Linked DNA regions of Mus musculus: all the other regions are reported to be linked to region 2. The links are microRNA targets in miRTarBase. Many come from high-throughput screens and were not tested one by one. Region 2 holds a microRNA gene; each other region holds the end of a gene's coding sequence. Distances are from middle to middle.
The links. The annotated mature microRNA mmu-miR-466q reads GUGCACACACACACAUACGU and lies in region 2 at 1,808-1,827, opposite strand. An mRNA with a match to its seed (bases 2 to 7 or 8) in the 3' UTR can be bound and repressed. Matches are read on the target gene's strand: a 7mer-m8 pairs with bases 2 to 8, a 7mer-A1 pairs with bases 2 to 7 and ends in A, and an 8mer does both.

Region 1 (4,066 bases), not on the chromosome of region 2:
TGGTGTCTTCACTCGGGATATCAACAAGGCCCTGTATGTCAGTGACAAACTGCAGGCGGGCACTGTGTTTGTCAACACATACAACAAGACCGATGTGGCCGCACCTTTTGGAGGATTCAAGCAGTCTGGATTTGGCAAAGACCTGGGTAACGAAACCCTGTCTGTGGGACTGCTTTCCAGCAAACACCTGTCAAAGGCCACCAAGGGCCAGGTCTTGTCCCCAATACTGGGGTGTCACACTGATCAACACAGCTGGTGGCTGGTCAGTTCTAGCTGGGAGGGAACACTCTTGGGACTGATGTACTTGCTGAGACAGCAGTGGAAAGGATATGTATGTATAACATATTCTAGTCACAGGAGGACAGGAGGATAAGTTCTTGGCTGCCAATAGCCAGTAGGGCATCCATACCACCTCCTCTACCATCAATGTAGCAGGGAAGATTCTAGAATGGTTGCCCCAGATCATTCTCCTGCCTGCACTGGTGCCCGAGCCCACAGCTTACTACAGGGATGGCCTGGGTTGGGTGCATGATTTCCTCAGGGCTTGGTTTCTCATCTGTAGAGAGCCAGGCTACTCACAGGTGTGTTCCCCGGAGGGGTCCCCTGCACACCCATAAGGTGTCCCAACAGTGGGTGCTATCTTGCAGGAGAGGCGGCCCTGAATGAGTACCTGCGGATCAAGACTGTGACTTTTGAGTACTGAAGCCAAGACTGTGATACTTCTCCTGTACCCTGTTGACCTCAGGGAGTGCTGACCCTGTCTGGTGACTTAGCACCCTCCTGTCCCCAGCACTGCTCCTTTCAGCTGCTGGAGCTCTTGGCCTGGACCCCTGCTGGTGACAGGACACCCTCTGAACAATCAGAAGTGGCTCCAAGTGGAGTGAGCAGTCATGTCCCCCATGAATAAAAATTGTGAGCAGAGGTCGCCTACACTTTGTGTCACTGCTCTGTCTATGGATGCCTCGTATGGAACCAGAGGCAGTGGTCACCATGAGTCCTGAGCATGTAGCATCACTTGGCCTTCAGAGAACGAGACCCCTTAGTGGGACACAGGAGGAAATGCACATCACACACCTCCAAAAGCAGAATGGGTACAAGAGGCTGTGGAAGAGGGTGCGCCCCAGAAACAGGAAATGAGACTTGGGGAGTGAGCCTTGGGCCATCAAGCACCCCAGTCTCCTCTGCCAGGACCCGGGTTCTCACTCAGTGGACTTGGACAGCCACAATGGTAGCCTGGGGTCTACAGCAGGGACTCCACCCAGCCTGACATTTCCCTGGACAGCACTCCCATCTTCTACCATCTGCATTTCTTTTTATCTTACACCACCCCAGCCTGGAGCACAGCCCCTGCAAGGCTTCTGACTCCTATGCACTCACCCGTGGGTGCCCAAGGCCCTCTCCTCTGTACCTTCTTCATTCTGGAGGTCCCACATACCACATCTCAACAGATTTGCTATTGCCTTGGTTTACCCAACATTCTCTTCTTGGCATGCCAACCACTACCACCTTTCTTTGGCTCTGCCTCTCTTGGTCCAAAATTCTTTAAAGGCCTTTCTGTTCTTCTCTAACTCCCCTGGCCAGGCAGGCAGTGACCTGGATCAGTCGCAAAGATTTCAGGCCTATGTAGTATCCCGGACTTCCTCCGCATCCCTGCCCTTCTCTTAAGTGGGGCACATGCCTCAGAGTAACATTTTCGTCAGTGAGAAGCCACATACCTAATATTGATTCCAGAGTAGCAAATCTGAGAATTCCTACCACCTATGACGTCACAACTGATGTGATGTATGATGTCACAAGCGATGTGACATAAACACTTCATCCTGTATACGTGATGGGGCCGTGTAAACCCCACCACATGGCTGTTGGAATAGGAAACTGGGTGGTCACAGTGACACTGTCACTGGCCATGTGTCCACTAAGTGATAATCGGTGTATATGGTTTTTTAAAAAATATTTATTTTATTATTTTTTTTGTCTCTGTGTTTGTGTTTATGTGCACGTGCACGCAGGTACCAGAAGAGATCAGAAGAGGATATAAAAGATATCAAATCAGGGTTACAGGGAGTTGAAGGCTGACAGATTTGGGTGGTGGGAATCAAACTCAGGTCACCTACAAAAGCAGCAAGCTCTTAACTCCTGAGCCGTTTCTCTAGTCCATTAGTGGAGTGTGTGTGTGTGTGTGTGTGTGTGTGTGTGTGTGTGCTGAAACCAGTTACAGTGTTATACCTGCAGCAACCTTATCTGTCTGGTGTGTGTGCAAGATGTCCCTAGTAGATCATGTTCAGTGAGTGACCTTGACCATCTAGATTATGAGAGTTTACTCTGCTGTGACGTGCACAGTGACATTGCCTGACAGCAAAGCTCTTGGACCTTATCCCAGTACCAAGATGACATGGGGCAGTAGATTGTGTGACTCCCACATGTGAACACTGGTAGTAGCAATGGTAACCACAATAGCTTGTCGAATGTTGCGTGCCATGCAGGCTTCTAAATCCTCTCCACACATTTGTACTGCACATGCTGTAGTCCAGTGAAGGACTAGCCCACTGAAGCACAGAGGCCAGCTTGCTCAGGGACCTGCGGCTGCTACGAAGCTCCTTTTCTCCTCCCAAACCAAGAGACCCTTGAAGCCCTTGATGCGAAGTGACACAGAAACCCGGGTCCTGAGTCTCTGGGAATATCTCTGAAGCCTTCACTTTCAGGCCACAGCTATAGGACACCAGTTCCTAATGGGAGATCCAGACCATGCCCTCTACATGAAAGCTCTATTCCATATAGAGGGTAAAGTGGGCTGCTCCCCAGGGCTCCCTGCACCTAGGCTGCAGCCTCTCAGAGGTCTTCTTACAGGTGTCTGTGAGGTTTGTTCTTGGTCTGTGTGTGTGTGTGTGTGTGTGTGTGTGTGTGTGTGTGTGTGTGTGTGTGTGTGTGTGTGTTGGGTGGCAGGGTGCACATCCGGCCTTTCTTCCTGATGCCCGTGGAAGGGAAAGATGTGTGTTTACTTCCACTGCCCATTTTAAGGCAGGATAAGGATGTAGCACTGTAACACTAAACCCCACTCTGTCATTCCCAACGGCCACCTCCCTCCTTTTCCAGAACCTTTTCATCTTGTAAAGCTTAGGGATTTTTCTGCCTTTAAACACAGGCTTTTCATTCTCAGGTAAGGCAAGCTGAGTCTGTGAGCCCAGGGTTCACGTTCAGCTGGGCTGGAAATAGAAACATCCCACAGTCTGCACCCTTTACCACATGCCCACAGCCAGCTAAAGGGGGGGTAGCTCAGTGGGGGAGCAGTCATGCTGGTGTGTGGGGCTCTGGGTTCTAGCCTCTTCACCTGTGTTTGCACATACACGTTAGTAATCTGCAGTTGTTATTCTACGCATTGTATGTATCTTGCATGTGCTCCATGTAACATTTAAAATATGCCACAAGGTTTGGCCTCCGTTCTGACATTTCTTCATTTCACATCTGCTGCGCCCCCCTCCCCACCACCACCAATGAGATCATTCAGGCCCTTTGCAAGGTCCCAAGGAGAAAGATTTGGGTCCTGTGAGGAGACCCTGTGCTCTGGCTCTCCCAGCTGCCCTGGGATAACCCCCGCCCCTTGCCAGCTCCTCCTCGTGTGCAGTCAGCTAAACCTATCTTTAGCATCAGGTCAGTTTCCTCAAGGCATCAGGTCAGTCCTGAGAGGAGGGGGTTTTAAGCTCCCTGGGTGCTGTCCCTGAGGACTGCAGCAAATCAGGTCTGCAGACGGCAGCAGAACTTACATGCAAGCTGTCCCCACTGTGGCCCCACAGGCCGATCAGCTGCTCCTGGCTCCCACCGTCCTCCTCCAGACAGAACAGCAACAGTGCTGAGGCCACCGCAGAGTCCACACTGACAAGTGCTGTAAGTCGTTGTCTCTGAAAGTCAGTCCAGTGTCAGCTCAGGACCTGTAGGGAGAGAGAGGCTTGCTAATGCATCAGAAGCATGCCCAGCCTTCTGACTCTGGCACTGCCCGACTCTTTCTGGTGGGCAAGATTCCGTTTCTTACCTGAAAACAGCAACCACGATGCCCGTCTGCCCAGTCCAG
Region 2 (4,066 bases):
CTTTCATTTGGGTGACCAACAGTGAATCTCTTGAGCATCAGGACAAATTCTAAACAATGAAAATCCCCCCACGCAACCCCCCAAAAAACAATAACAACAACTTAGCATTTTAGAAGCAAAAGGTCTCATTCGTGTGGATTTTCATTAAAGAGTAAAAGAAAAGATCTAAAGCCACAGGAAACTGGAAAGACAAATCAATGGGGGAAATAAGCTCCTGGTGGTCAGGGTGAAGGTGCGTCCCAGCAACGCTGACTGAGCTTTTGCAAAGACAATGTTTGTGTGCTCTGCGTCCTAGTGGCCAGATGTCTTAGCCAATGGTGATGGGAACTGACTAGACCAATCCAGCAGGGCCAATCCAGAGGAGAGACTTGGCAGGAGACTTTGTGTTTTAAGGTGGCTCCTCCAGTGTGAATTTAGGGAAAATATTCAAAGGATCTGTGGCCACTCTCAGATGTTTGCTTTAAAGGGGGCACTTGTGGGGCTAGCAGGATGGCTCAGAATTAAAAGCACACACTGTTCCTACAGAAGACACTAATCTGGTTCCTAGCACCAGTATGATAGCTCAGCCCATCTGTAAATCTAGATAGACTGAGACTGACTCCCACCCACAGTCACCTAGCACACAAATGATGCACAGACATGTATGCAGGTAAAACAGCCATACACATGAAATAAAAATAAATACATCACATTAAAGGGAAAAAAGGGAGAGGAGAGAGAGAGAGAGAGAGGAGGGATGGTTGTCTCAAAAGAATTAAGACCATACTTAAACCACCCTTTACCTGTTTCCTAAGCTTATTCTGTCTTTCATTCTTTTCTGTTAATTGTATCGGGTGAGGGGCTAATGAGAGCTAGCTGTTACTAGCTGAGTGTGCTCTGCTGTCGTTTGGATGGGGTTTTCCCCATTGCAGCTCTGAGCAGAGCACCTGGTAGGCTCCTCGTCATATTTGCCCTAGCCAAGCAAGCCAGGAGCTCAAGGAAACACCTCTTAAGTGTTTCCCAGTTTGGAGGTTGCACACACATCCCATGTTTGGCTGCTATTATAGGCCAGAAGTTCCTAACACAGTTTGACTAAAATACATCCACTCTTTTCATTTGATGTAGATCTAACCTAACTTGTGCAAAAAATACTTATGCAAAGATACACAGTGATGGCAAATGAAATGCTTCTGTTGTTGTAGTTCTTCTTGTGCTCCTGCAGTACCAAATCTCGGCCACGAGCCACTTGTGAAATTCTGCCTTCTTCATTTCTAACCCTGTGAATAATGTCATTCATCCTGGAATGGAGTGATGGGTTACGGAAGGACAGATCAGCGTGACCTCTCTAGTGACTACAAGCCACTACAATTGTCCTCAGAGATGCCCGAGGTCCTCTGAGTCTCTGGAGCCCTTTTTATATATTAATACAATGACATCAAATGCTATTTTCGCTCTTGCCCCACAGTTGTACAGTGGAGTTTCCCAGAGGCTGCATGCCACAAGATGATGTCATCACTGCGGCTAATGGACATTGTGTTATGCATTAGTAATATTGTGCTTTAAAAAGTCCTTATTGTATTTAATGAAATCACATTTATTGGCACTATAATAAATGCTGGTAGACAATCCATCCAAACATACGGTTCTTGCACTCTTCAGTAGTATTAAGAATATAAAGCACACCTATAAGGCAGCTCAGAGGGTAAGGGTGCTTGCTGCCAAGCCTGACAACCTGAGATCAGTCTCTGGGCACTACTGGGTAAAGGAGAAAATTGACTCCTACGAGTTGTCCTATTATCTCCAGAGATGAGATATGGCATGCATGGGTACGTATGTGTGTGTGTGCACATATACTACACACACATACACACACACACACACACACACACACACACACTAAAGAGAAGGTAATAAGAATATAAAGGAGATTTTTAAAACTGTTTCAGGAGTAGAGGGGTCTTCCTAAGGTAGACTTTAGATAAATATGGTAGTGACTGCCTGTAATCTCAACACCCAGGATGTTAAGACAGGAGGACTGAGTTCAAGACCAGGCTAGACTAGAGACCCCTGTTTCAAGCATGGGAAGGAGTTAAAAATAAAGAATTTCACTAAATTCCTTCAGTTTTCTGCATGAAAATTTCTCAGCTCTTTTTTTTTTGCTCCACCCCACTGTTAAGCACTCTCTTGTGATATATACATTTAATACTTCAATAAAGTTTTATTTGCACCTATTGCAAACCCCACCTTACCCCCCAGATAGTAGTAAAGTCTACTAGTAGTATACCCATGTGGACTCAGCTGAGTAGAATCCAGATGCCACATTCTTCAGAAGGGTTTTCACAGCCCAGAGCAAAAAGTATCCAATTGTCTATTTTCTTCAAGGAATATACCGAGGCTTTCTGAAGCATTTATACTACCTAGTCACTTCGGATCCTACTCTGTTTCTCCAAATATGAATTTCATGTCAGCTTAAACCTAACATGGCTCTCAAACGCCAGTTTTCACCCACTACTTCCACTCATTAACATACTTGTGGTGAGCACCTAATAAAAAGAGAAATGGCAAACTCTAGTCACAAATATAAAACACAAAGCAAACTCGAGAAAAGTTTTTGTATATTTTTACAACTCGGGGAATTTTTCCTCACCCAAATCTAATTACCGGGAGCCTAGGAAGGAAAGTTCACATCATAATGTATGATGAGAAGCGTTTCCTCTAATTATACAAACATGATACAAATAGTTCTGTGCAAAGTGCTTCACTGGATAAATATTAGCATGCCATTATCATCGTTCACTGACTAATCTGGGCACTGGCACTTCTCTGCAGACTTCGTAAAAAACAAGGGAAGAGGAAACGAGGTCATGAGTGAGTCCTGCTGCACACAGGAGCACCCTATGTATCTCCATCTCAACTCTCTAATCAGATGAGAAGCATGCATGCTGCCCATGGCTTCTCGATGAAGATACTGATGCTCAGAAGAGGTCGGTACTTTGTTCAAGACTGAAAGAGAAAACTGAAGCTGGAGCCCATCCCATGCCTGTCTCTGTCTACTCTGGTGCCCGCTTTCCAGCAATCTTTTTTCTTAAGAACCCTCACCCGAGGAAGCATGTTCCAATACCAGTTGACCCAGAAATCAGAGTTGTGAAGGCTTCTTCTGGCGCTGTTTTGCAGCACTTGTGTGTTTTCAACAGGCATTCTTAGTGGACCAACAGAACAAACGATACTGCAGTTAGCAGTTGGCAGAGCACTGTGACAAATGATACACTCTTAAAAGAAATTAGAGAGCAGAATCTACAGTTAACATTGCTTTGTCTCGAGACCAGCTCCCCTGTACACCATTCTGATATGCAAAAGCCAAGCTGTGTATAATGTCCCTTGTATGTATATTTCCAGGGCTGTCCATTTGGTATTGGATAAGCAATTTCTCCTGTTCTCCGCATTTTGTAGGTCTTTGTGTAGGATGGAGGGCTTTCCACTGCCTACTTCAGCATGTCTAGTGTTGCCCTTGTTCAGCTCATGTTTAGATGTTATGGATATAGTTTCTAACTGAATAGGTTGTATTTATGTTTTTAGAGATATACCTACCTACCTACATACATACATACATTCCTAATATGTGTGTATGTGTGTAACAATAAATAATGATAAAAGAGGCGATGAGTTTGAAAGAGCACAAGGCATTGTGGGAGGGTTTGGAGGGAGGAAGGGGATAATGATGTAATTATATTATAATCTCAAAAAGAGGGTAATTTTTTTGAAATGCTTATATATATATATATATATATATATATATATATATATATATATATCCATGGGACATTCATGGGTCCAAGTCAAACTTCTGCACTCTGGGCTGTTGAGGAAGGGCAGGGTCTGCGACACCGACATGCATTTCTATGCCTAAACATAACTCCAGGTCAAATAATGGTAGGCATATCATTGTATATCTGTTATGACCAAACTGGAATTTTTGAAAAGTCTAGAAGGTGATGCATCAAAATGATGAGCCTCAAAAAATTAACTCTGGGCAGTATAATTTCCAACTACAAGATCTTTTTGTAATTGTCCTACTTGTTCCAAAATT
Region 3 (4,066 bases), not on the chromosome of region 2:
ACCATTAATATCTGATATGTCAAAAAAATACAGGTGGAGTGGTAGTGCAATGCATTAGGGGGCAGGGGTGAGACTGGTGAGTGAGCCTTGCCGAAACTGTCCATGTGTCTGGAAAGCCTTGCTTTAAAAGCAGCAGGTCTCTTACAAGGAGCCTTGAAAATGCTGCACCAATGGGCCAGAGAGGTGGCTCAGCAGGAGAAGTGCTTACTTCATGACACGAGTCCTCATTCCCACGTCTCTTGTCAGAGCAAAGGAGAGAACTCACTCCACAGAGCTGCTGTGAGCACGCATGCACACCATAGCATGTGCACACAGTCATGGTAAAGTGCAAGTGCATTGTGCAAGAATGCCTCTACTGAGGCTGCATCTTAGATAACTCCAGGAAAAGCAATACACACGGAGAGATGTACTTTACTGTTACGTACCGATCAGCAACCTTAAAACAGTTTAAGGATCAAAGAACAGCTGCCCTGGCTCACAGAAAGAATGTGTAAGTGCAGAAGATTTCTGCACACAGCAGTGTGTGGCCCAGAGCCAGCTCTGCCCTGCTGGAGACCCCGAGAGCCAGCGCTGCCCTGGTGGAGGCCGTGTATAGCCCAAGGGCGTGTCAGTTCTTAGAGCTAAAAATGTCTTCTTCTCTTAGGTTCGCTTTCAACCCTTAATACAGAAATAGCCAACACCAAGCTTCTACAGACCATCTGAAGCTACAGTGCTGTGCTGGGGGCAGTGTCACACGCTGTTTTATGACGTAAGTCTCACGGTCTGTGTTCTTCCCCCAGGCTCTCAGAAGCATGAGGAATTATGATCTCTGGAGGAAGATGGGAAACCCACCTTGACAGTTTGGACTAACTGCTGTTTTCTCTGATCTTTCGATACGACTGCTGATGAACGGATTGGGCAGGTGTACCACACCTATTGATCTGAGCATTGATTTAGACTACTGCACCCTAGTGGGTGCTAGATCCTTGGGGCTAAGGCTCTGTTGGATTTGTACCTCAGAGGAAGACAAGTGGCTGGTCTTCTGGGACTCTTCTTCTCACCAGAGGGAGAAATGCCGGCAGCAACTGCAAGAAGCCCAGTCCTTCGGTGCCCACAGCCCAGAGCACACACTGCTGTGCTGGCCCAGAAGCTGGGCAGAAAGGTCACCATGTTCTTCCTTACCTCAGTTTACCTGCAGCCCTTGCTGCAGTGCAGATGCCCACCCTGTACCAGGTCAGGCCGGCAGATGCTTCATCCATGCCTCAAGGTCTACGCCAACATGCTTCTCACGTCTCTTCCCCTCCCCACCCCCCTTCCCAAGCACTAGGCTTGTTGTTTAATGGAGCCCAACCAATAATCATGTGTCTTCAGGGTTGGCTCAGTGCAGTTGCTAAGCAAATCAGTCTTCAGGAGAAACGGGGTGGTGTGGATAAGGCTGGAAGAAATGGCAGGTAGTGGAGAGTGTTGGGGTGTTCGATGGAAGACAAAAACATGGGCCGTTCTCTTCAGTCTAGTACCCAGTGAACTGTCCAGGTAATTGTTTTGTAAACAATTTTTCTATTTATGAAAATGTGTGCTTTTTCTTCTTACTTTCTAAAAAGCTGTTGGTTATCAGTTTCCTGGCTGGGCACAGGCGTCCTGAGTCCCTCAGTGACCGCTCTCAGCGTGCTCAGCCTCCGTCTGGATGCACCATACTGTCTGCCCTTTCCCTTGTAGAGTTTTCTCTCAGACCCAGGGGATAACTTTGGGTGTTTCTTCCCCCAAATGCTCTCAGACCTGTGACCAGGAATGACTCTGTCTCTGGAACTCGGTTTCCTACACTCTGTCTTTCCCTTGTGCTTTGGCTCTGAGGGTCCCCTTTGGCTTTCGAGACTTGCCGAGGTCTGGTCCAGTTCTAAGGTACTGCTGCTGTCTGAAGCAGCACCCTTCACTGCTTTGTGTTCACAGCCACAGCCCAGCATCACCTCGGGAGCAGCCTGGGCTGAGGAGCCTTCCACGTGTTGTTAACCTGGCTGGACAGGTGTGGGTGTGTGGTGTCATCTCTGCCCAGGACTCAGGGATCTACAGCAGAGAGTTAGTGTTGCTGGGCACAGGGTGTGGCTCAGTGGCAGACAGAGTGCTTGTCTAGCAAGCCCAAGGCCTTCTGTCTGGTACTGTATCTCCCCAGCCCCCCCCCCCCAAAAAAAAAGACTGAATATGAGGAATGAGTACTGTGGGTAACTAAGTTCTTGCCTGTCCAAGCTAGGTAATATGTGTGTTACCATGGAAGAATGGCCTACAGGAGCCGTGGTTAGGGATTTGAGTGGGCAATTGTTAAGTAATAAGTAGAGACAGAAAACTGGATTGGGAATTCAGAGAACCAGCATTAACCCCCTTACCTCGTCAGCTGGAGCTCCCACTGAGAGTCCTGGGCAGAGCACAAGTGTCCCCTCAGGTCAGGAATCCACATAAGAGAACAAAGAGCAGCACTAAAAACAACATCATTTAGTTCGGTGCTCACGACACCCCAGAAACGAGCTGGGGGGCTGCTACCATCGGTCGGTCAGCAGGGTTTTCTCCCTCTCCCTCTGCAGGCGCTTGGGTAGCAAGGACAGGCTGTAGCGAGCCCTCTGACCTTGGAAAGGTGTCTGGGAATAAATTACTTCCCAGCTGTTTCAAGCGATGTATTTTGACTCTTGGATTATCAAAGTGTTTTGTCATTTGTCATAAAGTCAGGGAAGGGGCACACATCCCCAGACAAAGGGCCATGGAGGATACGTTTGAGACAAACATGTTCCATAGCTTCTTAGCTTAACTAGCCCTTGACATTTATTGATACAGTGTATATTACAACATGAATTTCAAAAAATAAAAAAATTACCACACATATATCAAGTAATATCTCCCCCCCCCCCATTTTCAAATCTAAAAGTTAGCTTAAGAGCCAGCCTTTGTTCAGGCTTCATGTCCACCCTGGATTAAGCTCTCAGGGCTGCTGCGCCCGACTGTGAGCGGAAGCTGTCTTCCCAGTGCCCTGGGAGCCTGGAGTGTTGAGCAGGAATAGTCAGTGCTCTGAGATGCTGGCCCGGTGGCCAGGGTCCTTCTCTTACCAAATTATGTGTGCCTCCTCTGAGGAAGAGGAAGGCATGGGTCTCCTATGGCCCTTTAGTCCCTCGTGGGTCACTACACTGACATAAGTCATATTCAGAGCTGATGCTGGCTAGGCCAGACCCTAAACTAAACCCTTCTAAAGCTGTCCAGGCCCCCCCTTTCCTGGTCCTTCCTTGCATCCTGTGGATTAAATCATCTCTACAAACTAAGCCACTGCCACAAATGGGCTGCTGCCGGCAAGTGGCCCTGGAAGGGTGTCCCTGTCAGATTTCACCTGACATTCTCACTACGAAAAAGCATGTTGTGACTGAAAAGAGAGATGAGCTATTCTCCAAGAAGCAGGAAGTGACTGAGCAGACAGGTTATTGAGGCTCCTGGAGAGCTCACCGCCATTCTTGGCCTGCGAATAAATGGTTCTTTGACCTCCTGTCATATAGCAGTAGAGTGTTTCCTTTCTGAATCACTAGGGTAGTGTGACCTGTGACAAGTCAGACTGTGCCGATGTGAATCCATGAAAAGCGGCCCTTGACTGGACCTGGGGCTGTGGGGCACAGCTCTCCAGAGTCCTGGGTTAGAAGTATCCTGGATGCACCCATGTCGAGAGTGGTAATGTGCTGGTTTCATAAGATAGTTGGCGTTGTTACCCGGGCAGAGGCTACATTTCTGGTTGAGCATGGTCGTCTCGGGGCGTGCATGTGTGCACCGTGCAGGGCCTGTCTGGTCAGGAGCAGACTTCATGGCAGGTATGTTACCTGGCTCTCGTCTGAGTTGCTGAAAGATGAGCTGAGAGCCCAGTGCTAAAGAAGGAAGAAAAGAACAAGCAAACAAACAAACAAAAAACAGGAAACAAACTTGACTGGCATAGTTTAGGACTGGTCAGATTTGGTCACCAGTATGAAGTCAACTCCTCTTGTCCGCGTGTCCTCCATTAAATTACCCTTCTAAAATTACCCTTCCTAGTTAGACCCGCATGCTTCAAGGAAATGATGCACCTGAG
Region 4 (4,066 bases), not on the chromosome of region 2:
TTCCTTCAGCTGTCTACTAGATGATGAACTGTCCTTTCAGGAGTGTGGCCTTTCAGGAAACAAGAAGATAGATGCTAACTTTGAATGGAATAACATAACAGAACTCTGAGGAGGGCAAGCACTCATAGACCCCCACCCTGCCCTTGCATCCAGAGAGAGACAAATGAAAATGGCTCTGTTCTTGTGGCAACCCAATTCTATTCGTGACCCAGATGCCTTGACTTCCCAGCCTAGGCACAGAATACAGACAGATGCACACAGCTTCCCTGACCTAACTGTGACCAAGAACACCCAGGAGAAACTGCATATCTGTATGCAAAGTCATGGAGAATGAACAGAAATAAAGAGAGTTGAAAATTTCAGAGCAGCTCACTTCTAGCCAAGAAAAACATCCAGTGTGGGTCAAAATGAACCTGTAGCTTTAGTGGGGAGCTGAGTGCATAACAAAATTCTAAAGAAAAACCAAGTCGATCATGACAGATTATTATTCTTGCATAGACCCTCTCCACGTGGTCAAAGGTAGTTATAAATGAATAATAAGCCATGGGGTCTCACCCCATGTACACTCAGAAAGAGCTGCTCTCCAGCTAACTTGTGCCACTGGTGTTCTGCCATGTGTGGCCCCAGTGCACAGACCCTGAAGCCCAAATGATCCTGTCTAACAAGGCAAGAAGAATGGCAGTTGACAAATGGTGGCCGAGGTGACAAGAGCCTCTATTCTAGGAATGGCAGATCGTCTTGCCTCAACCTGTGAAAAGGGTCGTGATCCTTTGCTTACCACCAGGGGTCTGTGAAAAGCAGGGTGTGCTTTAACTACTTTTAATATTCATGGACAATATAGCCTAATCACTAGGTATCTGCATGGGGAATGGTTCCATGAGCCTTGTAGATGCTAAAATCTCCTTTATAAAATGGCTTAGCAGTTTTTACTTGAGTATTCTCCTCCCCTCCCCACCCACATACTTTAAATCCTAAGACGGTCTGCAGTGCCTAATACATGGGAAATAGTTGTTAAACTAGACTGTTTCCAGAACAGCAAGGAAAAGTCTGCCCATGCCCAGTAAAGACACTGCCACTGTAGACCAGTGCTGCTATGCATGAACGGGGCGTGAAACAAACCATGCTCAGACGCTGGCCTCACGGGTGACCTCTGGGACGCCAGGAGGAACATCAGGGTGTGCTTGTGTATAACTGCAGTCGCATCGAGTGCACTGGTGTGCTTAGTGTGTGCCAAACCCAAGTCTTGTGTCTTTGGAACTTTCTGGATGGTTTCTTTTCTTTATATAGTTTCCAGCCGTGGTGGCTTGCTTGCGCAGATGTGGACACAGCTGGCCAGCTCTTCAATGTGCTGAATGGCCAAGAGCAAAACTATGGAACTGGCTGCAGAGTGTGCAGATAACATATTGGTTTTTGGGCTTTTTTGTTTGTTTGTTTTTTAAGAGACCTGTGACAATATTCACAAGGACAGAAGTATGGAGCCGCCTCCCAAGGAGAGGGGATGCAATGGAAGCAACCTCGTCACAAACCTAGGGTATCTTTTATAACGTCTGCATGCTGCAGACGGAGCTCAGGACAACTGATGAAGTCCACGAAACACGAAGGGGTTTGTATCTAAGAGGGCCAGTCAGCGCTATGGAATTCCACCTTCTCTACACATTACACGATCTGCTACATTTTTATTAAAAACAAAAAAGAAAGTTTACATTTGTCCATAAAGCTGTACAGTCTTCCATATAAAAGCGCTATTATACAATTAGTAACCTTTGTCTTTTCTGTCAGAATAGCTTACAAACTTACCACTATTTCTTATTTTTACTTAATAAGAGAGACAGGCCTGCTCAACAGTCCAGCTCTAGGGTTTGTCATTTCTAAAGTGAACAAGGACAGTAAAGAATTGAAGATTTAAGCATGAGACCAGGAGGCAGCTTCTAAACGGCAGGCACCTGTGTGCGGACAAAACACAAGAACCATCTGGAACAATTCACAGCTTTGTTGTAGGCCACAGCTCTCAGGTCTGTGGGCCCAGAGTTAAGGTTAAAGCAAGAGAGACGAAGCCACCTGGGAAGGCTGTGCGAAGCTGGGGCCTGTCTGCCCGGGCAGGCAGAGAGTTTGGTAAATAGCACCTTTGAGCAGAAACTGAGGAGCTGAGAAATCTAGGACACAGGATGCCATGGCGGTGGAGAGAAACGGGGAAGGGAATCCTCACCAAGGGGTGACGGGCTAGCTCTAGCTCTGTCCTTCAGTTTGAGAGACTTGAGGCCTTCTAAGAAGCCCTCATCAGTGTCACTGAACCTGAAGGAAAGCCATTTCTTCCCAGTGTTTCCCAATTTTCTCCAACCCAGAACAGTAAATATTGCACACATCTACAAATAAATTTGGATTTTACTAAGAGAGAGAGAGAGGTAACCTCCCCCACAGGTGCTCTGAGCACCAAGGAGCTAAAGCTGTGCCCAAGGTTTGACTCTTCATGGCAGCCCTACAAGAATACCAGGTAGTCCTGCAGTGCACAGGTGCCCTCCCTGTGGCCCAGGAAGATCTCCGCAAGGCCCACCAGCCAGTCAGAACCCCTAGAAGAATGGGAAGAATGGGTCCCTAAAACCTACCAGGGCATCAGGAGGGGCTGGGAGGTCCGGTCTCAGAGCATCCTGGGACTATTGCACAGTGACTGAGAACGCTTGTCCTAGGAAATAGGGCCCTCCAGGACCCAACCGCAGGAAAGGGGAAAGAAAAAATGGGGAAGGTTGCTCTTGAAGAGAAGGCAGTAAGAAAGGACTTGGAGTTCCCTGGAGCTTTGAGCCACCTCTCAAAGGAATAGTGGTAGCAGCATTCAGACTGTCGTGTGGTTCCCAAAAGGAAGGACTGGGTCCAAAAGACCTACCCCCATTGGATACTCTTTGGGTCCCAAAATTCCATTGCAAATCATCCCTAAATTATTCACTATCCACCCATACAAAGCAGCACAGAGCAAAGCAAAGGTTTTGTGCAGGTCCTCTCCATCTTAGCCCCAAAGTCTTTGCGCGCCTGCCTTACATCCCACCCTCCAAAAAATGTTTAGACAGATTCCGGGCTGGGAAGCAAGCTCTTCAGGCCCCCAAGGGTAGACTCAGAAACGAGACACGGCTTCAAGAGACTGCTTAGAACAGAAGGGACAGGAGAGGCCTTTCAGTCTGCCCCTGATCTCAGCCGAAAAACAAAAGAGAAGATTAGGCAATGTAGTATTATTTAAGATCAGGCTTGAATGCCCCTGAGTAAGAGAGGGACCAGGCATACAGGCATCCCAGCTGGGACGGTAACCCAGAGCAGACCCTGACCCCTCTCATTCACAGTTGCTAACCTTGCTCCCTTCCACCACCTCCTGGGGGGATCAGCCAAGAATCCCCTTTTACCTTGGCTAGGCCAATCCCCAACCCATTCCCCTAGGCAAACACTGGCTCACAGATGCAATCAAGAACAGTTCTCTCCAAAGGCACCTGGGGAGGCCACTTCCAAGCAGCTCCCTTTAAAGAATTGTTTTTCTTTTTCTTTTTTTTTTAAAAAAAATCTTTTGGTTTTTTTCCTCTTTTCTTAAAAAAAAAAAAAAAAAACATGTATAAATAGCTCTTCATTTTAAAAATACAGTTCCCCAGGTTGAGGTATACGGTGGCCTGTTGTCAGGGCAGCATGAGAACAGTAGAGTGCCAGGGTCGGGTGGCTCCTATCTAGCTGGAGACGGCCATCACATAGTTCTTCGAGGGGCTGCTCCTGCCCAGCATCATCTGGTTCTTGCAGGTGAGGAGCCCATAGGAGGCAGCCACCGGGGCCTCCTCATACAGGACACAGATGGAGCCATCCTCCCCGATGCGGTAAGACACTTCATAGGGATCAACCCACAGGGTCAGCTCACTGGGCAGCAGCCGGTGCAGCTGGGGCTGGCTGAGTCCAATCTGGCTGGCCACCTTGCTGATGATGGGGTCCATCTTGTGGTTGATACGGATACAGCGATAGCCAGAACCTTTGGATGGTTTTTCTGGAAACCAGTGGTGTTTGTAATGATCTGTGGAAAAAAACAAGAGGAAGATGCGCCGTT
Region 5 (4,062 bases), not on the chromosome of region 2:
AGAAGCAGGATATGGGGTAAGTGGGGTGGAGGGGGCCGCTTTGTTTCTGGGGGAATGCACCTGTTCCCAAGAGCAGGCTATTGGCTGGGTAAAAAGTTCAGCAGGAGGAACAGAACAGAATGGGTTGCTAGGTACCTGTCCACAAGATCTATAGCTCTTTGTTCTTGACTGGGGTTAGTACTTTCCCACAGAGGCCAGGACTTTGTGCCAGTGCACTTAGGGCTGACAAGGCAGTAAAGCAGTTAATGTTCAAGCAGGGTTGCTCCCAACAAGTAAGTTCCATGGAAACCCTGTCTCAAACAGACAGACAACAGCAACCATATAATCTGATCCTTACAGTCCTTAGGAGTTTTCAAGACAGGCTTGCTCTGTGTAGCCCTGGCTGTCCTGGACTCACTCTGCAGACCAGGCTGGCCTAGAACTCAGAGATCCGCCTGCCTCTGCCTCCCGAGTGCTGGGATTAAAGGTGTGTGCCACCACTGCCTGGCTAAACATAGCTTTAAAAGTAGTTGTGCTAGCTATTTCGTATACAGATGACAGTTCCAGCTGAAAACGCTTCCTGTTTTTATTCTCCTTCTCTCAATAGAAACTACGCCCGGTTCCGACAGAGGCCTCTGCAGAGGTACAGTCTGAGTCAGTGGGTTGACAGAAACAAGCGGAGCCACCATCGGTTCCAGCGTCTCCCAGACTTCTCCTACAGTCCATATGTCTCATCCCATCAACAGTGACAGTTCCTGCCAAGGGTCCCGTCCAGAGCAGCATCACATTTTCCTCTGCTATTTTTGTTTGTATATTTTGAGTTTTATTTCACAAGATTTTTATTTAAAGAATTTGTCACCTTTTGGAAATGCCCATTACTGTCTTGAATTTTTGTTTTTTAATGAGGGCCACCCCCCACCCCTGATTTGTATGTCTGTCTGGTGAATATGTTTCAGCAGTGTTAAGTATTGTTTTTCTGTTTGTTCACTGTTGTTGTTGTTGTTGCTGTTTTTAAATTTTAAATGAAGGTAATTCTCTTTTGAAGGCCTGCATTAAGTCAGAACAGTCAGGCTTTGAGTAAAATACCAGCTGTAAGGGCAGGCAGACTCACCTTCCAGTCTACTGTAAGGAAGAGGCTGTTTTGCAAGCTAAGAGCCGGTATTATTATTGTTGACTTGTGAATAGATAGAAGTCACTTTTAACGACCCCTCTTTTTAAATTTGAGTTTCTTGAATACTTGTCAGTATTTTAATGTTGCCAATTCAGTACATTTGAAATAGGAGAAGGAGAAAAGTCCTGTTGAAGGGCTAGATTAAAAGTGTAAATCCTCTCCTTTCTGTACCTATTAGCTGCCTTTTTAAAAAATTATTAGTGGCTTTTTTCACTCTCTATTAGATATATTTCGTTCATAATGTTTGAAATCTTACACATCTTAACTGACAGAAGACAGCTGAATAACCCTTGTTCAATACTCTGTGGTCTTGTGACTGGTTGGTTTCTCTGCCCCATTGTTTTCTTTTCCTTTTCCCACTCCCAGTGACCGGTTAGTCCTGAAGCTTTGCAGTAAGTGTTCTTATGTCCTGTTAGACTGAGACATGGCTCTCAGGTGCCCTCTGTCTGCTGAAGAAATCCTGTCAGAATCCTGACTGTCGTTAGGCCGGCACAGAATCCTGACTGTTGTTAGGCCAGCACAATTGGGATGTCTAGGAATCTTCAGTTCTGTCTTCGGAACCCGAGTTTATGTGTTGCTGCTGTTCAAGGAACCTTCGTCCTATGAAATCCTTGGGAGAGTCACTGGCCTCTCCCGTTGGTTACAGGTACCCTTATACCCTGGATGTTAGCGTTGTAGTTGTAGCATTGGGTCCATTGTTTCACATTAGTGTTTGAGCATCTTGGGAAAGTACGATTGAGCCCGTGCACCGCACCACCACCATGCACCGCGTAAGGTGTGGTGTTCCAACCAAAGCGCTAGGCTCTGTGTACTGTCTTAATGGATGTCCTAAAAGATCTGTATTTCTTACAGGCAGCTCTAGAGATCATTCTGAGAGGGTTTACAATATGACACTCCTGCTGCTGCAGTCACTGTGGGAGTGATTCATAGTTGCCTAGCCTCTGTCTCATTTTATATGTGGCTAACCCACCCTGAATAGTCTACTCTGCCTCAGAAAAATGATCTTTTTGTTCTGTTTTGTTTTTGCTTTTCAAGACAGGGTTTCTTTGTATACTCCTGGCTGTCCTGGAACTCGCTCTTAGACTGGGCTGGCCTTAACTCACAGAGCTCTGCCTACCTTGCCTTCTCACTGCTGGGAGTAAAAGGATGAATCACCATTGTTGGACTGAAAAAGTGACTGTGATTAGGAAAATCTTGATTTTGTTTGTTTTGTTTTGTTTTGTTTTCAAGCCTTTAATAGGTTTGGATAAATGTTCCCAAGTGTGTGTTAGTTTTATCTAGTGAAAGTTTTTTCTTCTTTCCTTCCTTTTTTGCGGCAGGGTCTCCTATAAAGCCTAGGCTAGCCATCAACACACTATTTAACCCAAGATGGTCTTGCACTTCTGATTTTTCTCTCCCTCCAGCCCCTCACCCCTCAGACAGGTTTTTTTTTTATGTAGCCCTCCTGTCTGGGTAGACCAGGCTGGCCTCAGGACTCACAGAGATTCACCTGCCTCTGCCTTCTTAGTGCTGGGATTAAAGGTGTGCACCACCACTCCCTGCTTTTGACATCCCCCCCCCCGCCCCACCCGCCACCCCCAGAAAGACTTTTCTATTTCTTAGTTATTTGGTTTAGATTCTGGGACCAGACTTTGAAAGGCAGTAGTCCAGTCACCTCTCTTGATGGGCACGCTTGTTGTTGACCTCAGTTGACTTGTCCAAGATGCTGTGAGTTAGCCTGTTAGACTGAGATATGCCAAACAACCCACCTATGGGACCAAAACAAAGTGCAGATTAGCTACCGCTGGAGTAGCTAGCATTGGGGCTGAATGGTTCCCACGGGGAGCCCAGGGAGTGGAGGGACAGCAAAGCTCCTGCTCTCCTGCTACCAGGAGGAATTAAGACTGAATGTATAATGGGAGTGCTGCCTCTGTCAGAGCAGATGAGTGACAGGTTAACTAGAAAATGTGACAATCACATTTCCTCTAGCGCAGATAATTCTGTTTTTCCAAAGTGTTAGCAGCTAATTAAATCTGGTGGACTGGGGGAGGAGAGAGCTGTTCTGTACTGGTTAACATGGTATTCTTTAAGGAGAAAAAAGCCAAAGAAAACTCATCCGGCATGTTAGCCTTAAAGATGGTACTGGCCAGAAGCCGGGGCTTAATCTCTTCAGAGCTGCATATCTCTTATGTTTGGGTTTGGCCTCTAAGTCTTGTAGATTAAATTAATTCTTGCTGTATTTTTAAATTTGAGTAAGGGTTATGTGCATTTAACTGTGTTCCTGTCTTTTATCATCCCTGGGGACGTTCTTACCATAGGGGTCTTGACAAAGCAAAGCTAAAATGTGTTGTTGATAAATAGTTCCTGTGTAGGTCAGGAGCCGAAATAACAATAGCTCTGCAGCTCATCGGGCTCTGATTTACTCGAGTTGTTGTCGGGGTCGATTATGAAACTGAAGTTTGGTGCCTCCTTTTTTATCATGTTTTTCCCCTTGTAGCAGTTGTGTTTAATGTCATTAAAAAGAAATAAAAGTTCTCGTCAGTGGCATATGTACTGTGGCCGTCTGTTCCGGGCTTTGGAGGAGCACTCTCTGCCTTCCTCTGCGTAGGTCGCTCTGCTTGGGAGGGTGGCGGCATTTAGTAGAATATGGTTCTGGGAAGGAGAAAGTGCTTGCTCCCTGTTCTTTTGAGGGTAAATTACAGTGCTGGGGAAGGCGTTCCAGCAGTTAAGAAATGTTGCAATTGATTAGGATTTGCAGCTACATATGGTGCATGTCAGGAGCCTGACATTGGGAGAGCCTGAAATATCCCTGTGCAGAGGGCGGGGGAGACCAGGCAGCCGGTAGCGGGCGGGAGGGCAGTGCCTTGCATTCCTTCCCTTCCCATGGATCCATGGCCGGCCACTGTGTATGTTTAGGAAACCATGCGGTTCCA
Region 6 (4,066 bases), not on the chromosome of region 2:
CTCTTTGTGGTTATGACAGAGTTGCCACGTGTTGGGGAATACATCCTATTTTTAGCTTTCACTTCCCCTCCCATCAGCTCAAGACAGCATCTTGGCTTCTTCTCTTTTAAACATAGATTTGTCTCCTTGATTTCATATCCCTCAACCCTGGAACCTTAGTTCCCTTTCAGCATTCTCATGAAGACATGTAGTTCTTGTTCTGGGAGCACATCAAATACACACACACACACACACACACACACACACACACACACACACACACACACACACACCCTTACTCTACCTGTTCCCATGTCTCTTCCATGACACTAGAAAAAGAAAATAAGATTTTTTGGGGGAGGATATATGTCTGTTTTACCTAGAAGACTAACCTAGTAGAGGTTCTCAATAAAGACTCATTGGGAACAAACAAACAAACAAACAAACACAACTGTAAAGGTTTTCAAGCCATCAAACCCCAGACTCTATCTGTGATGCTAGGTCTTAGACTAGATCAAAAATTTGTATGCAGGCTATTTCTCTATTTTTAAAGATGGACTCCTCTGTAGGCTCAGGGCGTACACGGTTCCCTTGGAGCATGTAGGTATAGTTGAAGTCCAGATGAGGGGTCCTTGTCCTCCATCATCTGCTTTAAAGGACCTCAAATGGTACCAGACAAACATAGGTGTATGTTTGGATTTTCTGTCCTTGTGCATTTTGGCCATTGGTACCTACATACCCTTCTGGGACTCCGTAGTTAGTATTTCTGTGGCGCCCTATAAAGTGGTTCATGAGATATCAAGCAAGAGTGAGTGTATTGCAACAATCCATGAAAGTGTAACACAGCACCTGGCTCATAGCTGCTGGTTCCATTAATAAATTAATAGACTTATTTGGAGCAATTTCAGGCATCTCCCAGTCATTTTCTCTGGGCTAACTGACAGATTCAGTCACACTGGCAGAAAGGAATACAGATTCTGGGTTTGAGGAGAGTTCTCAGCAATTGGACGATGAACCTCAGAGTCCAAAGAGGCTGAGAATAGCTTATTCTGGAAGGAAGTGGTATCAGCTACCACACTGCCAAAATCCTGGCAGGAGCAACTTACAGGGGAAGGGCCTGCTTTCGATTTTGAGTTCTAGAGGTTATAATCCATTGTCATCAGAGGCATGGCGGCTTTAGGGGCTTGGCCTGTGTTGGAGGGAGTTTGCAATGTCTGCTTCTTCATAACATGGTGGACAGGATTCTGCCTGAGGTGGAGCAGAAGGCTTGCCCAGAGCCAGGAGTGACTGTCACTTTCTAGGCCTGCCTCCTGGAGACTCACCGTCTGCAGACAGACTCTATCTTCTATAGGGTCTACAGCACCCTTAAATAACACCAAGTGTTGAACCACACAAGCCCGCAACCTTGAATCTTTTCGACTCAATCCATAACACTCCCGTCTTGGCTCACAGGTCTTGGCTCAATATGCCTACGGTCATCACACAATGCAAAACACATTCCATCTAACTTCAAGAGTCCCTAGCCATAACAGTTCAATGTCCAATGTCTTTTATGAGATGTAAGGCAAAGTCCTAGTTGTGAGCTCTTAAAAAATAGAAAACTCACATACTTTCAATGCACAATGGCAGAGGAAACATTCACATTCCAAAAGGGAGGGATGGGGCGTGGCAAAGAAAGAGCCAAAGATAGGAGAAAACTCAGCAGAGAGGTATAAGCCTTGAAGCTCCGTATCTGGCATCTTGGGTACATGGTATCATCATGTATGTTCCAATGGGTTTGAGGAGGCCTGTTTCCATGACCTTCCAACCAAAACCACACGTGGCCTCTTTCTCGGGTGTTTTCAGTGCCTGAAAATTTTCTTAGTAGATGCTTTATGTTCTGGGCAGCTCCAGCATCCTTTATGTTTTAGGCAGCTCCAGCATCCTGGAGTCTAAACTGCAAGTTAGGCTTTGCCTTCATAGTTTTATGCAGGCTTACAAGGCAGGTCCATTCAGAAAGCCCAACCTCGATACACGTTGCCTGGTTTTCCTCCCCTGGAACCTTAGTGCAAGCTTCAGTGGCTCCCCAGAGTTTACATTCTGCACGTGTGGACATTGCTGAGTTCTGCTGTCACTCCAGGATGGAGCCATACCTGCTTGGGTCAGGGCTCCAGCAGCCTCTGAGAACCGTGAGAACCCAGAGAAACACTTCCACAGTCTGATGTGCGATGTGGGACACTCTGTGTTCAGGCATTCTTTCTTTTAAATGAAAGCTTTTTTGAATAGGGTTTTTGAAAGACAGGGTTTAGCTCTCAGTGTCCCCTTTCTCTTGTCCTAGGGCACAGTCTGGGCTCATCCCTTTAACCATTACAGTCGAAGCTGAAAAACCCATTTGAAAACCCTTCATGCTGTCTATCAACCTGCATGCTTTTCCCATCTTCCTGTTCCTTTTCTTTGTTTTGAGTTCTGCTGAGGTTTGGTCTGTTGCTATGTATTGTAATACTTGTCACTGGTCCCCAAGGTCTGGTTGCCCTCTGGGACTAGAGAATCCTCACCTACACAAAGTGATACCATGTTTCCCTGCTCCTTAATTTAAAACTACTGGGTGAATAAAGATGTCGGCAGCCTATAGCAGGGCAGAAGAGAGGGAGGTGAGGTTTTGGTTCCCAGGCTTGGGATCTGAGGCAGGAGGTTCATGAGGAGAGACGGTGGAGAGAGAAGACACCATTGTGTTGGGGAATCATGAAAATATGGCCATAAGGGCTGGGCCAATTGGAGTAAGAGCAGCCTAGATGGAACATGGCAAATTATATCTTGGGGTTATTGATAGGGAAGTAGGCAAAAATAGCTTAGAGGGTAGATATCTGCCCAGCTCTAGTCTATAAAGGCTTATAATAAATATAAAAGGTTATGTGTCTTTTATCTGGGAACTGAATGATTGAGATTATTTACATACAGCTATAAATGTGAATAAAAACAGCGAACATGGCTGTGCCACAGCCAAATGCTGTGCTTTGTCAAAAATTTCTTCATCAGACAAATTAGTCCACTGTCTATGAGCACAGCCTCATTCATCATTACCGGAGACAGGATGGGCATAGAGAGATTCTTAGTCAGAATGTCTGAATGGGCTGTATCCCAGTCCCCAAGAGTCATTGTACCCTGAAAGCCCTTGAGCCTGAACTTCTCTGTCTGGATGCAAACATGTGGGTCTGGCGGGGAGACATTTACATTCAGTCTTTGACAGAAGTTTTCATTTCTGCTCAGAATGGTGAGGTTTTGTTTGTTTTGCAGTTTTGTTTTGTTTTGTTTTTTTCTGGAGAGGACGGAGTGCTGTCATCTAGATAACATTTTCAAAGCTTAATGACCTTGGCACGAGTGGCTTTGCAGGCAGGGAGCTGGGACTCTTTACCTGCAGGCAGACATGGAGAAAAACACTGAACATGGGCAGAGTTCTGGATCCCTCACAGAAGACTGTTTTGGGATAATCCACCCGCCCACACAAGATATCAGCTGGCTATGAAGGTGTGTGCCCCCCCTTCCCCCATCCTCAACTGTCAATTGCTCTGCAGAGTGGTGCCAGACTGGCAGGATATGTAAATGTTTGCAGCTTCTTCACCTGCCCCCAAAGAGAGGCAAGCTGCTGTCAGGAGAGCGGAATATCTCCGACTATGCTAATAGCATTGTTGCTCTAGATACAAGCTGAGGAATAAAGAGCTGGAGGCTGGAGCTGGGGCAGAGGGATGGGAGCAGATCAGGAACAGGTCAGGGAAGTAGAGCGAAGTGAGAAAGAGAGAGTCACATGGAAGGTGGGTTGATCTGATGGGCTAACTGAGGAACTGCCCCAGCAAACAGGCTAACAGCCTTATACTATGCAGATGTATTTATTATTAAACCCCAAGTGGGACCCCAAAAGCCCACCCTGTCACCTGTGATAACCGTTTCATCCCAGACACTCTTTCTAAAGGTGCCCAACCCATAGCTCCTCCATGCAAGGGCCTCCTGTTTACTTTTACCTTAGAGAGATTATTCTCCAAGTGAAATGTTTTTTGTTTTTTGTTTTTTTATCTTTCTCCATCCTTAGCAAACCATGCAGTCTTAGAGTTAA
Region 7 (4,066 bases), 62 Mb from region 2:
GCGGGTGGTGTGGCCAGGCCCAGTACCCTCATGTCTTAGCTTGGCATTACTGGAGTCAGTGCTGCGCCACGTCGGACTCAACGAGGTTCATAAAGCTGTTGGGCTTCTGCTGGAGACGCTAGGGCCCCCTCCCACCGGCCTGCACCTACAGAGGTAGGACGCTCTCATCTAGGTGACCCTTGACATGTCCTTTGTACCTTTCTTTGACCCCCTCCTATGTCTACTACAGGGGAATCTACCGTGAGATCTTATTCCTGACCATGGCTGCTCTGGGCAAGGACCACGTGGATATAGGTAAGGGTACAGTCAGGTACTGAGGAGATAAGGGATTTGAGACCAGGTATGAAAGGAGGTCCTAATGCATCGGTTTCCATCCTCTATCCTAGTGGCCTTCGACAAGAAGTACAAGTCTGCCTTTAACAAGCTGGCCAGCAGCATGGGCAAGGAGGAACTGAGGCAGCGGCGGGCACAGATGCCCACTCCCAAGGCCATCGACTGCCGAAAGTGTTTTGGAGCACCTCTGGAATGCTAGGGACCCTTAAGCTCCCCTCTCCAGCCTTGAGTGGAGAGGTGCGGAAGAGTGGATTCTAGACATAGCCTGACTCCCTGTTCCCTTCACAGAGGAATTGGGAACAGGATGTTCAGCCTAGGCTCCAAGTGGGAATAGTAGAAAGAGGGACTCACTGTTACCCAAAGTCACAATTCTCCTATCTCCACCCTGCCCTGTTTGTTCATGCTGATGTGGGGGAGAGCTAGGGAAGTTGACACAACTCCGTCTTTCTCCATCCCATTCCAGGGTCTCCTTTCCAGGGTGTCCTCAGATCCGCAGTGCCCTGGTAGACTTAGAAGTTTTTGTTTTAAAAAACAACTGGAAAAACTCAGAGCTCCTGAGCCTTTGCCCTGAGTGGAAGGGAGGAATTTCATTCCCCACGTCTCTTCCCTGACATTGCTAAAGGAGCCCAAGGCAATCTTAGTGTTGTATTCTATTTAGTTATTTATTCTGAGGCCACAGCTCCTATACTTATGGGAGTCTCAAGGAGCGTGAGAAAGAAGGGAATTAGATTTGTAGCACCTTGAGAGCCATGCTCTGGGACCCAGAGGAGTCCCAAGCTTCCCTTAGGAAGAACTGGTGCCTCTTCTAGTCCTGATCCTCTTGTCCACTCCACCTTGGGGAACACCTCTCCCATCCATGGCCTTGACCTGTGCAATAAGGATTGTTCTCTGCAAAGTTTTTTTGGATGTAAATATAGTAAAAGCTGCTTCTGTCTTTTTTTTCTTCTGCCTCCTGTTCTCTGGATTTGGGGTGACACCTTACTTTTCCTGGCTGCACATTCTCTTTTCTGCCTTTCCACGTTTTATAACCATCAGGTATACCCTACTTTTCCTGGCCACTTGATATATCGGGAGTTCTCTGAGCAGAAGGATGAAGCCAGTGCCGGCTATGGCAGTGCCAGTCTGCATGGCACTTCCGGCCCTCCGACACAATCACCCCCTTGTCCCTCATCTGTACCCCACACAAAGGCTCCATTCTCTGGGGGCCCTGAGCTCATCTTTGCCTTATTTCCTTGCCTCCTGTTCCCTCCCTGACCCCGCTTCTTTAGTACCTTCACGGAGATGACAGCCCTCCTCACTGGTTGCTGTCTGCGGCCCTTCTGTATCTCAGAAGCATGGCGATCATCCCAGCTCTCTAGTCAGTCTAGCTCCAGTGTACCTCACTGTGGGCTAAACTTGCTACGTGTGAATGCCAGGAAGATGGGCATCATTTTTTCTTTATTTTATTTTTTAGACTATTTTATGTGTATATATGTGGTGTGTGTGTGTGTGTGTGTGTGTGTGTGTGTGTGTGTTTAGAGTATACATATGCACTACATGTAAGCAGTACCCACAGAGGCCAGAAGAGGGTATTGGATATTCCTGAACTAGAGTCACTGTGTAGATGCTAGGAACAGCACCCAGGTCCTCTGCAGGAGGAACAAGTGCTTTTAACTGCTGAGCTAGATCTCTCCAGCCTTCCAATCCTTAAAAAACAAGCAATGTGTATGTGTGTGTCACATATGTGCAGGTAGCACAGTGGTCAGACAGGGTGTTGGATCCCTTAGAGATGGAGTTACAGGCAGTTGTGAACTGCCCGATGTGGGTGCTGAGAACCAAACTTGAGTCAAGAGAAACCAGTGAGCACTTTTAACTGCTGAGCTGTCAGTCCAATACCCCCCCCCCCCCCGCATTATTTTTCTAATCTCAGACCCATTTGGAATTTTCTTTCTTTTTCCTGTATAATGAAATAAATACAGGAAACAACTTCTAGCAGAACTACAAAAACCAATTACCACAGGGAATTAGCTAAAAATACAAGTGTCTTGGGGTAGCCAGGCATGGTGGCGCACACCTTTATTCCCATCATTCGGGAGGCAGAGGCAGGTGGATTTCTGAGTTCGAGGCCAGCATGATCTACAGCGTGAGTTCCAGGACAGCCAGGCCTACACAGAGAAACCCTGTCTCGAAAAACAAAACAAAAACAAACAAACAAAAAAAGATTTCTGGCTAGGGGTGGTGGCACACGCCCCATTAGTCTCAGTTACAGGCAGGTTATCTGAGTTCTAGGCCAGCTTGCTCTATATAGAGAATTCAGGCTAGCCAGGGCTTCCGTGAGACCCTGTCTTTGAAAATAAATATAAATATTTCTAATTGTTAGGCTCTTGAAGCCAAAGAATCTTTTCCATCATGTCCTGAGGATGCTTTTCCAGTATCCCAAAGGTGTAAAGAAGGAAATCAAGGGATTTCAGACATTCTCTTTTGCCAGGAGGTGGTGGTACACCCCTTTAATTCCAGTTCTCAGGAGCCAGACACAGGGGCAATCTCTGTGAGTTCCAGACCAGTTTAATCTATAAACTGAGTTCCAGGACAACCAGAGCTACACAGAGAAACACTGTGAATGGGGAGAGGAGAGAGGAGGGATGGGTGTGGGGATTCTGTCTTACTCTTTATTGCATCCAGTTTCTGATCAGGTGACATTGTGTGTGTGTGTGTGTGTGTGTGTGTGTGTGTGTGTGTGTCTGTATTTTGCTGGTGATCAGCTCTAGGATCTTAAATATACTAGACAGACATTTTCACCCTATTCTAAACCTGAGCTACATCCCAGCTGTTCTACTTTTTCCCCCATAGTAGAGTTCGAGTCCAGAGGCCTCCTGAACACTATGCAAATACTCTACCACTGAACTATAGCTCCAGTTTTCTTTTCTTTCTTTCTTTTTTTTTTTTTTTTGTTTTTTTTGTTTTTTTGTTTTGTTTTGTTTTGTTTTGTTTTTCAAGACAGGTTTTCCCTAGCTGTCCTGGAACTCACACTGTAGATCAGGCTGGCCTTGAACTCAGAAATCCGCCTGCCTCTGCCTCCCTAGTGCTGGGATTTAAGGTGTGCGCCACCACTCTGGGCTATCTCCAGTTTTCATGTGTCCTCTTAAAGTAAGTTTCTGTTTATAGTATGCTTAGTACTGCACTGGACTATAGCAAGACAATTTTAGATCTCAGCCCCTCCCCTAGAAGAGTACAGAGTCTTACTGGTCTAGAGTACTCTTTCCTGGACCCAGGCTGGCCTGAAACTTGCAACATGGTCAAAATGACCTTGAATTTTTGATAATACTGCTTCTACCACCAAGTACTGGAGTTAAAAGTCCTCCAAAGAAAACTCCAGAATTCCTTAGCTATCAGGCAAACTGAGGCCTAGAGAGCTGTATTGAGGGCTAAGATATGGCCAAATTACCTGACTCAACTTCTCTTCCCAGATTTTGGCGAATACAGGCTGAAGGGTAAAAGATTTGAAGTGTATCTTTGTCTATTGCAAGTCAGACGAGTTCTGCTGTGTCTCAGCTTGTGTTCATGTGCAAATAATGGGGGTGAGGCTAATTCATCTTTCTTGTTTGTTTGTTTTTTGAGATAAGGTTTCTCTGTATAACAGCCCTGGCAGTCAATTTATAGACCAGGCTGGTCTTGAACTCTCAGAGATCTTCTTGGTTCCGCCTCCTGATAGGATTAAAGTCCTGGGTCACCATAGCCTGTGATGTTTGTCATT

Region 1: miRTarBase lists Aldh1l1 as a target of mmu-miR-466q. The part of its 3' UTR that is shown has no 7-base or 8-base seed match.
Region 3: the mRNA of Uggt1 is a reported target of mmu-miR-466q. Seed matches in the 3' UTR shown: 7mer-m8 at 3,765-3,771.
Region 4: miRTarBase lists Btg2 as a target of mmu-miR-466q. Seed matches in the 3' UTR shown: 7mer-A1 at 2,655-2,661 and 8mer at 2,354-2,361.
Region 5: miRTarBase lists S100pbp as a target of mmu-miR-466q. Seed matches in the 3' UTR shown: 7mer-m8 at 2,672-2,678.
Region 6: miRTarBase lists Slamf7 as a target of mmu-miR-466q. The part of its 3' UTR that is shown has no 7-base or 8-base seed match.
Region 7: the mRNA of Dennd4b is a reported target of mmu-miR-466q. Seed matches in the 3' UTR shown: 7mer-A1 at 1,202-1,208.

The regions. Positions count from the first base shown.
Region 1 is chr6:90,598,240-90,602,305 of GRCm38, forward strand. Aldh1l1 (aldehyde dehydrogenase 1 family, member L1) reads left to right here. Exons shown (of 23, transcript NM_027406.2): 22 at 1-146; 23 at 648-932. The coding sequence ends at 703. It overlaps Gm15756 (predicted gene 15756), which reads right to left and starts at 1,701. Exons shown (of 2, transcript NR_157234.1): 1 at 1,378-1,701.
Region 2 is chr3:28,417,749-28,421,814 of GRCm38, reverse strand. It overlaps Mir466q (microRNA 466q), which reads right to left and starts at 1,872; the gene lies at 1,797-1,872. The region is part of intron 2 of Tnik (TRAF2 and NCK interacting kinase); the gene reads right to left.
Region 3 is chr1:36,140,965-36,145,030 of GRCm38, reverse strand. It overlaps Uggt1 (UDP-glucose glycoprotein glucosyltransferase 1), which reads left to right. Exons shown (of 41, transcript NM_198899.2): 41 at 780-4,066. The coding sequence ends at 805. It overlaps Mir6897 (microRNA 6897), which reads left to right and starts at 718; the gene lies at 718-779.
Region 4 is chr1:134,073,671-134,077,736 of GRCm38, forward strand. Btg2 (BTG anti-proliferation factor 2) reads right to left here. Exons shown (of 2, transcript NM_007570.2): 2 at 1,195-4,033. The coding sequence ends at 3,699. Among named protein-coding and RNA genes, the nearest start is that of Btg2, 3.5 kb to the right of the region's middle.
Region 5 is chr4:129,147,616-129,151,677 of GRCm38, reverse strand. It overlaps S100pbp (S100P binding protein), which reads left to right. Exons shown (of 7, transcript NM_001379590.1): 7 at 587-3,676. The coding sequence ends at 728. Among named protein-coding and RNA genes, the nearest start is that of Fndc5, 13 kb to the right of the region's middle.
Region 6 is chr1:171,631,627-171,635,692 of GRCm38, forward strand. It overlaps Slamf7 (SLAM family member 7), which reads right to left. Exons shown (of 8, transcript NM_144539.5): 8 at 777-3,370. The coding sequence ends at 3,299. Among named protein-coding and RNA genes, the nearest start is that of Mir7683, 8.2 kb to the right of the region's middle.
Region 7 is chr3:90,279,391-90,283,456 of GRCm38, forward strand. Dennd4b (DENN/MADD domain containing 4B) reads left to right here. Exons shown (of 28, transcript NM_001356483.1): 26 at 1-153; 27 at 230-294; 28 at 387-1,275. The coding sequence ends at 532. Among named protein-coding and RNA genes, the nearest start is that of Mir7012, 11 kb to the left of the region's middle.